2 linked regions of the Styela clava genome follow. Each later gene encodes a partner of the first gene's protein in a complex. Links are inferred from orthologs where the notes say so. Each region holds a gene or a part of one and is shown on either strand. Other genes may lie near its edges.

Evidence for each region. The genes of interacting proteins can lie anywhere in the genome.
Region 2: uncharacterized protein LOC120345914 (region 1) and transmembrane protein 17-like share a complex: the UniProt entries of both Homo sapiens proteins name them as parts of the tectonic-like complex. The link is inferred for Styela clava from reciprocal best matches to the Homo sapiens genes AHI1 and TMEM17.

The regions. Positions count from the first base shown.
Region 1 is NC_135257.1:13,082,814-13,090,419, forward strand, and holds the start of uncharacterized protein LOC120345914, read right to left. Parts: upstream 3,507-7,606; 5' UTR 3,393-3,506; intron 1,200-3,392; exon of another isoform or gene 1,139-1,199; 5' UTR 978-1,138; intron 901-977; 5' UTR 763-900; coding exon 707-762; intron 286-706; coding exon 255-285; intron 1-254. Other genes in the region: uncharacterized protein LOC120345286, read left to right, coding at 4,863-4,980, 5,347-5,473, 5,830-5,919, 6,833-7,030, 7,530-7,592. UniProt on the Homo sapiens protein: Involved in vesicle trafficking and required for ciliogenesis, formation of primary non-motile cilium, and recruitment of RAB8A to the basal body of primary cilium.
Region 2 is NC_135257.1:13,533,001-13,540,742, forward strand, and holds the start of transmembrane protein 17-like, read left to right. Parts: upstream 1-4,464; 5' UTR 4,465-4,502; exon of another isoform or gene 4,503-5,865; intron 5,866-7,742. Other genes in the region: dual specificity tyrosine-phosphorylation-regulated kinase 3-like, read left to right, coding at 197-399, 1,032-1,177, 1,465-1,602, 2,182-2,314, 2,950-3,046, 3,198-3,443, 4,036-4,156, 4,344-4,464. UniProt on the Homo sapiens protein: Transmembrane component of the tectonic-like complex, a complex localized at the transition zone of primary cilia and acting as a barrier that prevents diffusion of transmembrane proteins between the cilia and plasma membranes.

The sequences.
Region 1 (7,606 bases):
ACTACAAGCCAGATCATAGAATTCTCAAGTATTGTACAAATATTGTTGAGATAACTTCAAAAATGATTCAGATCTGAATTTAGTAGAACCGCATTTTTTTCATTGCATAGGAGGGTTCATAACTGACAGATTACTATGATGTAACTTTAGTTGATATTATAAATTTAAGACTTGGAACAAGCTTTGTCGTGCATTTTTCCAATTTAAACTTTCATGCCAGATCAGCAGATAGAGAAATGCAACAGAAAACTTACCATTTCACTTCTTTCTTTTCCATTCTTTTTACTGAAAATAAATATATCAAAATTGCAGTCAAAACAGTAAATGTATTGGTCAAATTAAATATTTTCTTTTGTACTGATGTCATGGGAGATGAGAAGATCAGATTCCAAAAACACTATTTTCAATAAAAAATTGCACCAAGTAACTCTACAGTTGCTTCACGAAAATTATGAAAATTTGTTTATCAATGAGGCATGTCAGTACAGCAGTATGTTCAATATAATAAACAGAATAAATGAATGAAATATAATTTATTAGTCAATGCCGTCGAAAAATAACTAGACTATAACATCACAAGTTTGCCAGAGGCATAGATGTACCCTAACTGCCTAAAGATATAACAAATGAATGGATTAGTAGCTGAGAAATAATGATGCTGACAAAGAAGGCAGCCATTAACTCTATAGAATGAAAATGTAGTTACCTTCCTGTATCTTTTAAAAGTTGTTCAAAAATTTGTCTGGTCTGATCAGTGGTCATTCTGTTATTATAAAAGCCTACAAATTTTCTTCCCAAATATCTTTCAAATTATGTCCAAAAGCAAGAAATTCAGCCTACCAACGTTGACTTGCAGACTTAGTTCTGTAGTGTTCAAAAAAGCTTTAACAGTTTAGAGGGCTGTAAAAATATTTTTTGCAGTTTTAATTTCTGTATTTGCAATTGAAGATAAGAAATAATACAGTAATATTTAATACCCTGAATCAGTTGAGTCTATCCAGTTACTAATGATCATTCCCAAGCAGGACAGACACGGAATTCAGGAATCTGATCCATGGTCGCCAATCGCTGAATGGCCATACCATGCATACTGGCCAAAATTTGAAAATAGTATGAGTTGTGAATTCCTAACGTAGCCCTGCAAATCACAAGCTTGCGCTGTTGGCCTGCCCGGTATTATGAACAAAACTCACAAAGGTATACTGATTTTACCTTGATTTATGAATGCCTGGTATTATGAACAAAACTCACAAAGGTATACTTTTTTTTTTTTTTTTTTTTTTTTTTTTTTTATGATTCCACAATGTGGTTTATGCAATATATAAAAATCATAAAATAATATATGAACAACAACAACAACAACAAGTATACAAAAATAACAAAGCATTTCATTACAGTCCATTGATTGTATTGTCCATAGTATCCCATTGCCATTGATATGTCCATCATGTAATTTCCATAATCCATAATGTTTGATCATTATTTATATTTTTTAGTATTAATTATTAAAAAAAAATTTTAATATCTATTAGTTTTGATACTATATATCACATCGTTAAAAATTCACAAGTTATTATAAATGATATCTAGTTCTCTTGTAAAATTAGGATATTGTCTCAACTTTTCTATATTTCTTCTTGCTATAAGTGACTTCTTAATTCTCATGATTACATTGCTAACATTTGGATTAACTTTTTGAAAAATTACTGTATTCCTTTCAAGCCAAATTTTGTGTCTGGCAGTGCAAAATAATAATATTATAGCATTCCGTTCTATTTTGGACAAATGTGAATAACATAGGTGAGTTAAATCTAGTAAAATACAAGTCATGTAATTATTATTCAGTACACAATGATTGATTTTTAATGCAACAGAAAAAATATAATCAAAAACATTTTGCGTAAAAGGACATTTCCAAAATAAATGAGAAACAAACTCAGGTTCTTGTGTGCAAAACACACATAAATCATTCCCAGAAATATGTTTAATTCTGGGCTTTACTTTAACAGAAAGAATATCCCACATTAATTTAAAATTGAAAGTTTTTATGTTATTGGACAATATCTTACAATGTATTTCAGAGCAGGCTCCTTCAATTGTACCATTACGAAGAAATACAATTCTGTTTCCGCCCTTCAATTTATTCACAATTTTATTATATAGTACCCTATGTTTTCCTTGTTTTAAATCATCCCCGGTTATGTTATATTGTCTAAGAAAATTAAGCAACTCTCCATAATATTTATAAGGAAAAAAAGCATGTGTCACATTATTATTAATCGGTATATTAAGTAATAAACAAAGTTGTTGTCCAATATTATATTCAATAATATTGAATGCTGATTGTCTACAATACTCAATTTTGTTACTAATCCTATCACAATAATAGTCGAATGCAGTCATTACATATAAACACATAGTAAAGGAATATTTATCATGTCATAGCCTCCAACAGCCTTGTTTTTGCACAGTGTCTCAATTTTCAATATGTTTCTGCCATTAAATATAAACTTTTCTTGTTAAATATAAACATTCACTTGTTTTGCAATTTTTAATGGGATGGGATATAATCTTGCACAGTATAAAAACAAAGGTAGAATTTTCAATTTTATTATCAGACATTTACCATCTAATGATAATGGAATATTTGAAAGTTCATCTATGACAGTTTTTGCATTATCTAAACAGTATTGCCAGTTTTCATCGCAGGTATCATGATTTGAAACCACCACTCCAAGTATGTTTAAAGTCAAGACAACAGGTACTTGTGAAAAAAAATTAGGATTGCTCCATATTCCTAATTTTAAAAGTTTAGTCTTCTCTATGTTCAACTTCATTCCAGTTGCTAATTTGAATCTTGTCATCAAATCCATTGCAGAATATACAGAGCTTTTGTTACATAGAGTCAATGTGACATCGTCTGCATAACTAATGTGTTTAATTTCTCTGTTGTGTGGTATTTTTAAGCCAATAATTTCTTTATGGGAATTAATTTTAATTAGGAGAGGTTCAATTGCTATGATAAATAAAAATAAACTTAACGGATCTCCTTGACGAATTCCTCTATCGATTCGATTCTCCATGTTTATTATGTTCTTGAGTACATAAATCCCTCAACAAAATGAGATTTTCAGATATTCTTCTTCCCGGAATTGCATACTGATGTCTATCTATGATGTCAGGTAATACACTTTTTAACCTATTTGCCAATATTTTTGTAAAGATCTTATAGTCTGTATTCAATAATGCTATTGGTCTGTAATTTTCTATTTGGTCTGGTTCTCCCTTTTTATAAATTAAAGTAGTATATCCCAATTTCATGTCTTTTGTTATTTGATAATTTTCAAATATTTCTTCCAATACTTCAAAGAATTCTGGTATACTGATTTTACCTTGATTTATGAATGCCTAAAAACTTCCTCCTGAGTCGACGGACAGAACGATGGCGTACTTGGAAACGAAAATTGTTCAAAAGTATTTATATACGACACTATGCTTCATTGATTTGTAAGGGATTGTTGGCGTTCGGATTCAAATCCGGTTCCTAAATCACCCCTGTAGTTTTCTGTCAATCCCTTCACTCGTGAGTAATGATTGTTCATATGTATGTTTGATTTGCACATGGTGATGAATGAATACTACTGCATCTAGTATTCATTCATCACCATGTGCAAATCAAACATACATATGAACAATCATTACTCACGAGTGAAGGGATTGACAGAAAACTACAGGGGTGATTTATGATAGGATTTAAATATTTATCCTGAGAGAGGAAAGTCGATAAGACGGCTTGACCATATGGCGAACCACGGCCACGTCCAGTTACCGTATTATTCCATGTCGGGTATGGGATTAGTTAGTTATTTTTTTTTCGGAAGCACGGACTTGGTGGTGGAGGAAGCCGTAACCGACCAGCGGTTACGTGAACCACCCTACGACGGCGAGGAGTCCAGCAATCCTCTCGCACATAACCATCCATGTGCGGTGGCGAGCGTATTCCTAATATTGAGGTTTATGAATCCTAACGCTTGGTACGATGAGCCACACCGCCATGACACCCTATGTGTAGAGCTGTGACACCCTATGACGCAGTGCTGTTTTCAAAGGTGGAATGTGAAAAAATGGTTAATATACATTAGTCACAAGGAAGGTAGATTAGGATTTGCAAATTTTTATCCCGGGAGAGAGGAAATTTTTTGAGGCTATTTTAAGAGTGCTTTTGCGAGTTGGCGCCTGTGAAATGGGGTATGTGTTTCAAACCATCATTATGATTCATCGCATACAACAATCTGTTTTTTAAAAGTACCGTTGAATAATTTTAGCCTAGTCTATCACAGCTATTTCTACACTAATTTTTATAACTGCAATTAAATTAAAACTCCTAGGAAGACAGGGTGACCATTGAATTATCTGATTTACATTTAAGTTTCCAAAACACAACTGAAAACTAACCAATAGAGTTCAAAAATGCGAAAACTAGGTAATGTTTACGACCACGATTGAAAATCTGTATGAGTGAGAAAAGTGTCTGAGCGGATGCGAAAAGGGAGCATTGTTACGTCACTTTTTGCAATTCGCTGATTGGCCAATGTCACGAAGTAAACGAGGAAGTCGATGCTGGGGGAAAGGTTCATGGACGTTTCCCTGACGCTTGAAAAATTCTCAACCAACCCTGCTTGAATATCAGTCTGAGCGAAAGAAGTGTCTATGAGCGACTGCACAAATTGGCATTGTTACGACGAAGTTGATTTATTGCTAAATGGTCATTGTTACGTATAGGATGTCATAATGATTATAGACACCATTCATTGACGTCGTCGTAGGAGTTGCCTACTTGCTAATTCACTTTTATAAAAGCCATGGCTATGTTTTCAGGTAGCGGTGCTCCTTCCGCGTTGCAAAAGTTTTTAAATGAGCTCAATGCAGATGTACAGGAAAAGCGACGAAAAATAAAAAAGGAAGAAGAAATAATAAAAAGTAAGTCTAACACTACCGGTATCTTCGAAATAGTCTAATCTAATTCCTTTGACTCAAAATTTGCGGGCTTCGAAAGTTTTCTTCCTTTCTATAATTTATATCTAAGTCGATTACGTCGGATGTGGCCGTCAATTTTATCCTGGGAAGGGCCAACAAGGCACGTTAGAATAGACGCAATGTCTTGTCGGGTTTTGGTATGAAATGCACATTTAGTTCAATAGTTTGCAGATCGGAGCTCAAATTAACAAGCTGCTAACATTGTCAAAATTGATACTTTTGGCTTGAACTTTTCCTACTTACCAACGTATGAGCCAAATCGGTTTCTCCGTTGACGAGACATTGATTGAATTTTTCCCACTTGTTTAGGTTTTCGGGAAGAATTGTGGAGTAAAAGAGAGAGGATTCATATATTTCAAGATAAAACAAGAGAGCTTGATGAGGCTGTGAAACAAATGCACGAAGTTTATGTGAATCAGAAACGAACTCTCGAAAGGTTGCGTACTGTTATAAATATTGGTATTACGCGTACAAAATGACCATAACAGTTGTTTACAGTATTGAAGAAATTCATTGCGTTTTACTTCCCTAAATTACGGAACTATTTGCTCCCGTTGATAAGAGAATGTTAACATGAGTCATAAGACTTAACTAAATCATACCCACCTGCAGAATAGAGAATTTGTCAAAAAGACTTTGTTACTGAGTACAGAACCAATGATATATTTTCTCAAATGATCAAAAAACGATTAATTACTATTAACCTGGATGGAGTGGATGGATGAGACCAATATTTGAGAAACTTTATAAACCAGAAAATATACAAAAAGTGTTTCTTTTTATATTTTGAAGGATAAAGGAAAATGATAGACTCTTGGATGAACATACAAATGCAAAAGCTGAAGAGCTGCAGAAAATAGTAGAGGAAAAGGCCAAAAGAAGGTTCGCTTTGTTACTTTAAGAATATGTGACCCGATATAAAGTTGAAGGAATAGAATTGTTTGGTTGGTGGATCAGAAACCAATATCTTCGCTAATGATATACTGTACACACATATATTTAGAAAATTATAGGGAAGTTTCTGTTAATATATATTTGTTTTTTGATCACATTTTATTATCATCACGCAGTTCAATTTTCCACCCTTCCTAATTCGTTTATGCCTTAAATATATAAATTGTAGTAGTCGTATTAAAAGGTGATAGGCAAAGGTTTCTGAGATGCATTTGTGAAATTTTCTAAAAAACGTCTCCTAATAAATTGCATCCATAAGTTGTAATACAACGTTAAGAAGCGGACTAACAGCCTATAAGGCGCGGACATCCCTGAAGGAATTTTCGATTTTATTGACAATGAAGCATAAATAAGTCATAGCCGTATAGATAACATCATGTTGAATACAATTTACTTTAACACATTTAGCAGTTACAATATTTTTCGAAATTGTGGATGTTGCGTTATCAAATTTCTATTTATGATAAAAGTCGCGTTGCCATATTTATGTACATCACTTTATTCGCTCCTCACTGAAAGTTGCGCTCATCCGGTCATCGGTCCGCATACGCATCGGTCTAATGAAATCATATTTGCAAGAGAGTTTGTAGGAAATGACCCGATCTGAGTTTCATCTCTGACTTCAATACAAACGATTTTTAAATAAATGAATACCAATTGTGAAATTTCTTTCACAATATTAATTGAAATTTCTTTCACAATATCCGTGGTTTTGGTTACTTCAGAGGTATACTTTGAGCCCGGAATGGAGAGCAGAACACTTGTTAAGATCAAACCTTTAGTTAAGACAATAAAATTGAATAATACTAATTTACGTAATTATGTATTGGATATTTTTAAGATTGGAACTTGAACAAAAGATAAATGGACAGGAGGAAAAGCTTGAAAATTATAAAAGAATTTACAAGTCGTTTCCGGGTGCATCGGAGCTAATGCAATTGCAAGACGAAACGCGGAGAATGGAAATAAAAAAGGCTGATGTTTTGAAAGAAATTGATATTATTGACGGTGAAATTGTTTCATTGGAGCAGCTGAGAGCAGGAAAGAGAATTATAATATTATTTCATTCATTCAAATTTGAATAAGTAATTATTTGAATAATATTTTACGATGGGATGTTTTGAAATAACTTATTAACCCGATCTTTGTTTCCCGGTAATTCAGCATTTGTTATAGGTTACTGAATAAACGTTATCTAGAAAAGATTTCGGTAATCACAAATTTTTCATATAATATGTCAATTTCATATGAAAATCTATCTTGTTTGCGCCATTGCGGGATCAGAAAATACACGATCTCCGAACTATATATTTTATAAAACACTCCCCAAATGACCATCCATATACTGTTTTTTTACATCATCCTCGAATTTCCAAATACCAGAGTCGACAAAGCTTGTGGCGTGGCCAGCAATATAGAACGTTTTTATGATTGTGACAAGCTACTGTATTGCTGATAACACGACGACTTTAACATGTTATTATATCTCGCGAATATATGTTACAGTAAATATAATCGCTACCATTTTTTTTCAAAATAGAACAACAAAAATGCGAAAATGCTCAAAAGTTCAAGACTTTACATGAATGGGGGGTTTCACTGTAAGTTGAAAATC
Region 2 (7,742 bases), about 450 kb from region 1:
AGGGCTGTTACGCCCTTGGGTATGGAACAATGCAAACAAAAGAGAAACGATAAATGATCTGTAACTATCAAAGCTGTACGCATAACCAGCGGCTATACGGAGTTGTTGCATATAAATTAAAATATTTTTGTTTGTGGGACACAATCAGGGACACAACGTGGTACACGATTTGATAAATACTTCTCATTGATTACAGAGGCAATACGGAGGTTTGGGAGTAAATTACCATACTGGGAGAAATATGAAATTCTCAACTATCCAAAAGTATATTACCTCGGATTGAATGCCAACAAATCTCAATTGAAAGAAGACGGCAAAAACAATTTTGGATTTGATTTTGATACATCGGTTGAAAAAGAATCTGAGGGAAATTATGACGTCGGAGGTCACTATAAAATGGTAATACATAACTATATTAGTTTTGGGTCTATGGAGTCGTAAAATATTTCGAATCAATTACGGGTCATTTATAAAATCAACTCCGAAACATAGGTTCATTCGTTGACTTTGGGTGTGCTGATTATCAAGTCGAAATAAACCTAATCACTACTTATGGTTTCATCACTTTGATGAAAATGTTACCAATTACAATTCAACCAAACTTTTAAAAGATTTTCTTGGACTAACCAAAAAATACTAGACGATACTGATAAAACGGAAACACTTCCCCAACCTCCAAGAATATAACGTATAGAAGTGTTAGGACAAAACTGAAAGAACATGCTATATTGTCTTGCCATATTTGAGATGAACTTATCTGAAGATTTCAAAACTCGGTCAGACAACATTTTATTAGCGTGCAGCAAAACTCCTGTTTCACGTAGAATAGTCATAATCCCTACAGCGTCTGTGTATTATACGCATGCGAATCCACCAGAGCAAAGGTATGCGGCAAGAATGGATCTCGTGTAACCCAAACGGATAGTTGACAGAATACTAGTTTGATTATTATTACATGATGAAGAGAAAACTCCACTTTATATTTTTGCATGTTCTAATCAATTCAATTTTTTTTGTTCTATTATTTTAAGGTTCCTGGTGATCATATCGGTTACAGATATGAAATTATCAAATACATTGATACTGGCTATTATTGCGATGTTGTTGTAGCAAGAGACTGGTCAAATCCAATTTTAAAAAATGTTGCCATCAAAATCATGCGTGTTAGAGGTCACGGGTGAGTAAGTTATAATTAAATGCGGTTTTATCGATAAATCGATAACAAATTCACAAAATACCATTCCACTTTATTTTAAACTAATATGCACTCATTATATTTTGCATGTGACACGCCGGCACAGAAGGGCGTATCGTGATACGTTTCTTGATTATTTATTTAAATGTAAAGCCGACTTTCGTGCATTCACGAACGAATTTTTCAGACGGATTCTCAATTTATCGCTAAGTGGTCACTTCCTCGACGCTGAATTACTCCCCTTTTAAAATTTATTTTGTATTTTCCAGCACGTCAAGATTTTACTGGAGAGAAGTAGGTATTCTGCAGTACCTCAATTCCAACGCTCCCAATTTGGATTATTTTACACGCATGTTAGCAACCTTCGAATTTCGCAACCATCTCTGCGTAGTTTTTGAATTGTTAGGGTCAGTATTTGTCTCAGAAATAAAATATAGTGTATTTTATTGAAAGAGGTAGCTTATATTATTACATTTAATTGTTCGTTTCTATAATTACATAAGGGAGATCGTGCGCTCTCGGGAGTTGATGTTGTAAAAAAAATCTAATTTGCAACTATTGCATCAGTCAATGTTAAATTTTACTACTTGAATCCGCTAAAAGGATATATAATATATTAATCCTCTTTTTTTTCAAGTGCGATATTTCACTCAAAATTTTGCTATTATATTTAAAATTTATATTCATTGAAACACTTTTTATGATATAGCAGCACATTTTTCCGAAGCAATTGCTGGCTTATGTCAGGTCGCCGTCACATTTCTCCACCGATCTTTTCAGCAAAAAAACTAAGTTAAAAAGCTGAGGCGGTACGTGTTCATCCAAATATATGAGCATTGCTCTATTATTCTGATTTACTAAAATGCTTAATGAATAGATAACATGTTATGTGTTTTCTATACATAGCATGCTATCTATATTTAGATGCAGCATTATTCTACTTTTACATGTATTGTTCACTTACCAAACTTTACTGTACTTCACAGGGGAACTATTGATTTAAAATATTTAAAACACTCTGTGCGAAACACAACTTCAATACGAAGATATGCAAGTGATGCTTTGCATGGTTTGCGTATTCTCAAAAAAATCGGTGTGGTGCACGGAGATTTTAAACTGGTAAATGCATTATATTGTCACATGTTGCCATGTTGCAAAATTATTGTTAATTATTTACAATTTTACCATAGTGTGTAATCTTACCTGATAGTGAGAATTAGCAATTTTAATCAACGAGAAACCGCACTTTGGGAGTACACTAGAACTTTGCTAATCCAAGTCGCTGACAAACTAAAATTCAGTGGCACATAATGCATCAGTTTTGTGCCAGGCTCTTTTTTATTGTATTTGAGTTGAATAGTTTCTCATCAGTTTGCTTATAGGTGTGTGTTCAGCAACAACTCTTGAAACTAAAAACTAAAGAGAACTTTATACAAATCCATACTGTTGTTTGTATATAGCTTGTGTAGTAACGATTCTCTGATCTTCAATAACTATAGTGGGTGAATATGTACAATAAAATGTTCTCTATCCTTCAGCTTTCAAGAATATTTACTAATCCATTCCACTTCGCATTGTTATCAAATAATATTATCTGCTTATATGCGCTGAAAGATAATAAAACGGGTCGTTAAGGTTTGAGACACGAAACTGCGAGGAGTTTGTAGGCCAGCTCCTTTTATTAATCGCATGAGAAATTATCCGCTGTGCTAAGCCATAGCAATAAAGCATTAAATGTTTGTATATGTTTTCAGCACAACCTGATGTATATTCATGGAAAAAATATTGAAAGTAATGGACAACTGATAAAAATAGGTGATTTTGGAGGAAGCTGCATTATTGGTCAGCCAAGTATGTCTTTCTGAAAATATGATATTAAAATTATATTATTATATTTTTTGTTGCACAAAGTTCATAAATTTATCAACTTTTTAAACAATTGGTGAAATAAACTAAAACAATGATATGAAATGCCTTTGAAACTGGACTTATCTTTTCACAGAATGTGGATATATGTATTACTTTATTACTCGACCTTATCGTGCTCCTGAAATAATTTTCCACCTGCCACACACAACCCAGATTGACATGTTCAGTTTTGGGGTTTGGCTGGCAGAACTGTTTTTGGGTCAGCCTCCATTTTTTGGCGAAGATAATGAGGAAGATCATTTAGGAGCAATGATGGAAGTACTTGGGCTTCCTCCAAGTCATATGATTGCAAGGTCACCTAGAAAGCACATCTATTGGGGTAACTACGTTGATAAACTTTGTCTAGGCATTGGCTGAAGTGATGTTATCTACTAAAAAATACTGTAGTTATTGTAAACAACATTTTTTGTTTTGTTTTATACTTCTATTTGACACCACGTTTACTTATGGATCGTTTGGTTATTATAATGTCGCTGTTGCCGTTAGTATTTCTTTTTTGTTGTTGTTATGAAAAATCTTTCTTCTTTCTGATTACTCGACCAATTGCTTTAAAATGTTCAGTGGTTGTACTGTTGCTAGAAGGCTATTACTTTTATTTATTTTAAAAATTTGTGTAGGCTCTATGGAAGCTTTATGAGATTAGTTTTTTGTTTACGAGGACACCATCAAAATTACTACTTCGTTTTGGCTTTCGTGTCCATATATCTGAGCATTGCTCTCTTGTTTATACGAAGTATATATATATGATAAAAATAAAACAGTTTCAACGATTCGATACAGGGATAAACGCTGAATGCCATTACTTTGCCCACATTCTTATTCCTTGTTGCATCAGGGATTTTGCAACCTACATTGCTAACTAATTAATTCTTTTAATTTTTCATCTTTGTTTTTTTCATATGTTTGTCTAGATGCCTTTCGTCACAAAATTCACGATAAAGGGACACATCGAAAGCCTTACAGTAGACCGTTGTTGAAAGTTTTGGAAGGAATGGACTTAGTGCTAATTGACCTGATTTGCAGATGCCTCGAGTAAGTTTTGTTGAAAATCACTTAAAACGTTGTGTGTGTTTGTCTAGTCATCTCATACATCAGACTACACCTTTCTTGGGTGTTTTTCCGTGCGTACTTATCCATGAAACCGCCACTATGTTATGGCGACATCCTAAAATCAAGTTTAGGATCTAAGCACTTGGTGATTTATAAACTTCACGTACAGATGGGACCCTAACCTACGCATCACACCTGAAGAAGCACTTCGTCATCCTTTTATGACTGGAGCAGAGAAGAATTTAGAAGAATATCCAATAGTCATTCAACGATTTCTAGGGAAAATTTAGTGTGGAAACTTGGCAAACGAAATTCACAACAGACGGAGGTAAATCGCCGCCCAGTGCGCTGGGATTCCAAATTGTCAACAATCGTCATTGGCTACGAAGATTGTTTTCGAATAAAGTGAATGTTCAAATAACAAGAGAGACGCAAAGCACACCCTAAAATTAAGGAAAAGTGAAGAATATTAAAGAACGTTAAAACAAAATTTTAATTGGATTGAATATACGCGTACGTGTATGTCCGTGGTTCTCAAACGCCTGAATGAGTCGTTTAATTTTCCAAGAGCGTCGTAAAACAATTTCATTAGCAGAAAATACTCAACTCAACTTAGTAAATACAATAGTAGAAAATTGCACTGCAGTGAAGCTCTTGACAAAAACTGCTAATATGACGTCCTGTTAGCTGGGACCATGAGGTTTCATTACAGCTTAAACTCTTTGGACAATTTATAGATCGCTCGCGTACCCCCAAAAGTTTTGACCACTAACCTCAAATTGCTCTGATGCACAACTTATTTTCTACATCTAGGCAACCCATTATATTACCTTTTAATTTGTTGAATCTATGAAATTGATTATTTCAGTTCAATATGATGATAAATTTGCGCTAAAGTTATTCATAACAATGTAATCCCAAGCTTAACAAACACTACAATCAAAGTAACAATATGTCTGATAACCGGAGGAGTGGTCGTGGTTCTCCATATGATTGAGCTGTCTTATTGGCTTCCCTCTCACCTGGGATAAATATGTAAATCATATCCTAATATGATGGGCGAGCTCATTACTAAAATCACGTTCAGGTGCTTTGAACTGTGACATGCATTTTGAGCAGCACTAAAAATGCCGACTCACACAATCAAGTTGATGGAAACAACAACAATGCTTGAGTTTAGAATCAAAATAAAAAAATCATACTTTAAGGAATTGACAATTTTTTTTCATTTGTTGAGTTGCTGAAAAAATCCCTGAAATTCTTCACGAAACTCATATACACGTTTAGAAACATTTACCCCGGAAAACCATCGCACATTACTGTGAAATAGTAGTAGGCCTACACTGTGATCGTCGCTCAAACTGCCACGGAGAACGTTGTTCAAATATACCCATTGAAACGTCGAAAAGTACCTCTCGGGGTAGGCTACCATACGTGTACCCCAGTTTGGTGACCCCTGGTTCAGAGCTTATCTTTTACCAATTTCTGATTAATAATATTTATTAACATAATAATTTGAAGAATAAAGTTTTTAGAAAGGAACGCATCGTTTATTGCCTGTATTGCATGATGTTTTACTTTTATACACGTATGGAAATAAGTATAAGTTTATTTCGACTCCATAATCAGCATAAAAGACGATAAAATAATTGATAAAAACAAAATAAATAAAACTGATTATATAATATATGGAACACAGCAAATTACACTTTCCGTTGATTTTTGTTGGTAACGAGGGAGGGAGAGAGAGAGGGAGAGAGTTTATTTGTTTTGTTCATTAGAAAACATATACACAACATAAACATAATTAATAAAAAGCAAAACAGTTCTCGGTACAGACTTGGTGGCAACGATACGGGTATCGGAGTCAGTTACCACCCAATATTAATATAAATAGACATGAATAAAAAATGCTTCAGATATGATTTAACATATTTCAGGTGTGTTCAGAAACAACGTAAAGAAAAAAAAAGGTTTACATATACACAACAGGCAATTACATATAAGCGTTTAAAGCTAAATAAAATTTCGGACAAGTTACACACTTGATCAAGTGTGGTATTGGTCAAAATTGACATCAATATGTATTTTTGAGTAAATGGAGCATCAATTGTTTGGAATCGGGTATTTCAAGTTGAAGAATACATAATAACATTTTGTGTAAATGGTGAAAGACTTAAGGCAGCATATATATAAAGACATTAAACTAGATCACTACAAAGTAGCAAAATAAATTTGAGCAACTGTGTATAAGCGTAGTAGCCTAGTATTTATTTACGGTATAAGATACAAAAAAAATGCAAAATCTCAAAATTGAGCTTAAGCTGGGGCATGCAAAATAATACAGTTATAATATATATTAGTTATATATGATAATATACAAGATAGGTTAAATTGTAAATTTCTCTAATTCAAACCCGTGGGTTTTAGCAATTTATGCACCACTTCTGATTCTAGACTAATCAGTCGTAGACTACACTTGTCACCATAGTAACATCAACGTCACTTCACTTTAAACGCAATTCGGATTGGAAATTATCTACTTTGGATATTGTTATAATAAAGATAATTATGTCTTTTAGTGCAGTATGGCCAAAGTGATCGCAATAAATAGTTGTCAACCCCATCTTTCAGTGTATACCGTATCCGGATATTTTCAAATATGAAGGTTATGCCCTGTGGGTCTGCTGGTCTGGGCCTGGCAAACCGCGCGGCGCGGCGGTGTGGCTCAACGGGCTAAGCGTTAGGAATACGCTCGCCACCGCACCTCTAATTACTCTGCGTGGGTTCGCAGGTTCGAATCCCATGCAGGGATGGTTATGTACGAGAGGATTGCTGGACTCCTCGCCGTCGTTGGGTGGTTCACGTAACCGCTGGTCGGTTACGGCTTCCTCCACCACCAAGTCCATGCTTCCGAAAACAAACAATACAGTAAAACTAATCCCATACCCGACTTTGAATGGTAACCGGACGAGAGGCCGTGGTTCGCCATATGGATAAGCCGTCTTATCGGCTTTCCTCTCCCCCGGGATAAATATGTAAATCCTATCCTATCCTAACCAATGCAGTGACGGCACAACAGAGCTAGGTCAAATTTAAGATTCTGAGTTTAATAGTCTTGTTACTGGGCTGACACAAATATAGTTGGAGTCTGGTATAGTTTAGTACCACATGCACTTCTAGTTGGCCTGGCTCAACAATTTTTGCATATGTCAATCCTAACCCTCACCTGACTACGTCACCCAAAAATTACGTCATTTCGACGCGCAGACGAGCACCCGAAATCGAGCAAGCTATCTCTCTCGTTTTCTCGTCACAACGATCACGATAGGAGAGAGATCGCCGGCTTTAGCGAGTTCATTATCAGCGGCGCAGATGTCATTTCGGGCGATCCTAATTATACTTTGGCAAGACCTATGACGTGATGGTGACGTCGTAGTGACGTAATTTTTGGATGGCATAGTCAGGTGGGGGTTAGGAATAACATATGCAAAATTCGTTATGCTACGCCCACTGGAAGTACCTGTGGGCTGTGGTACTATACTAGACCCTATAGTTGTATTTTTAA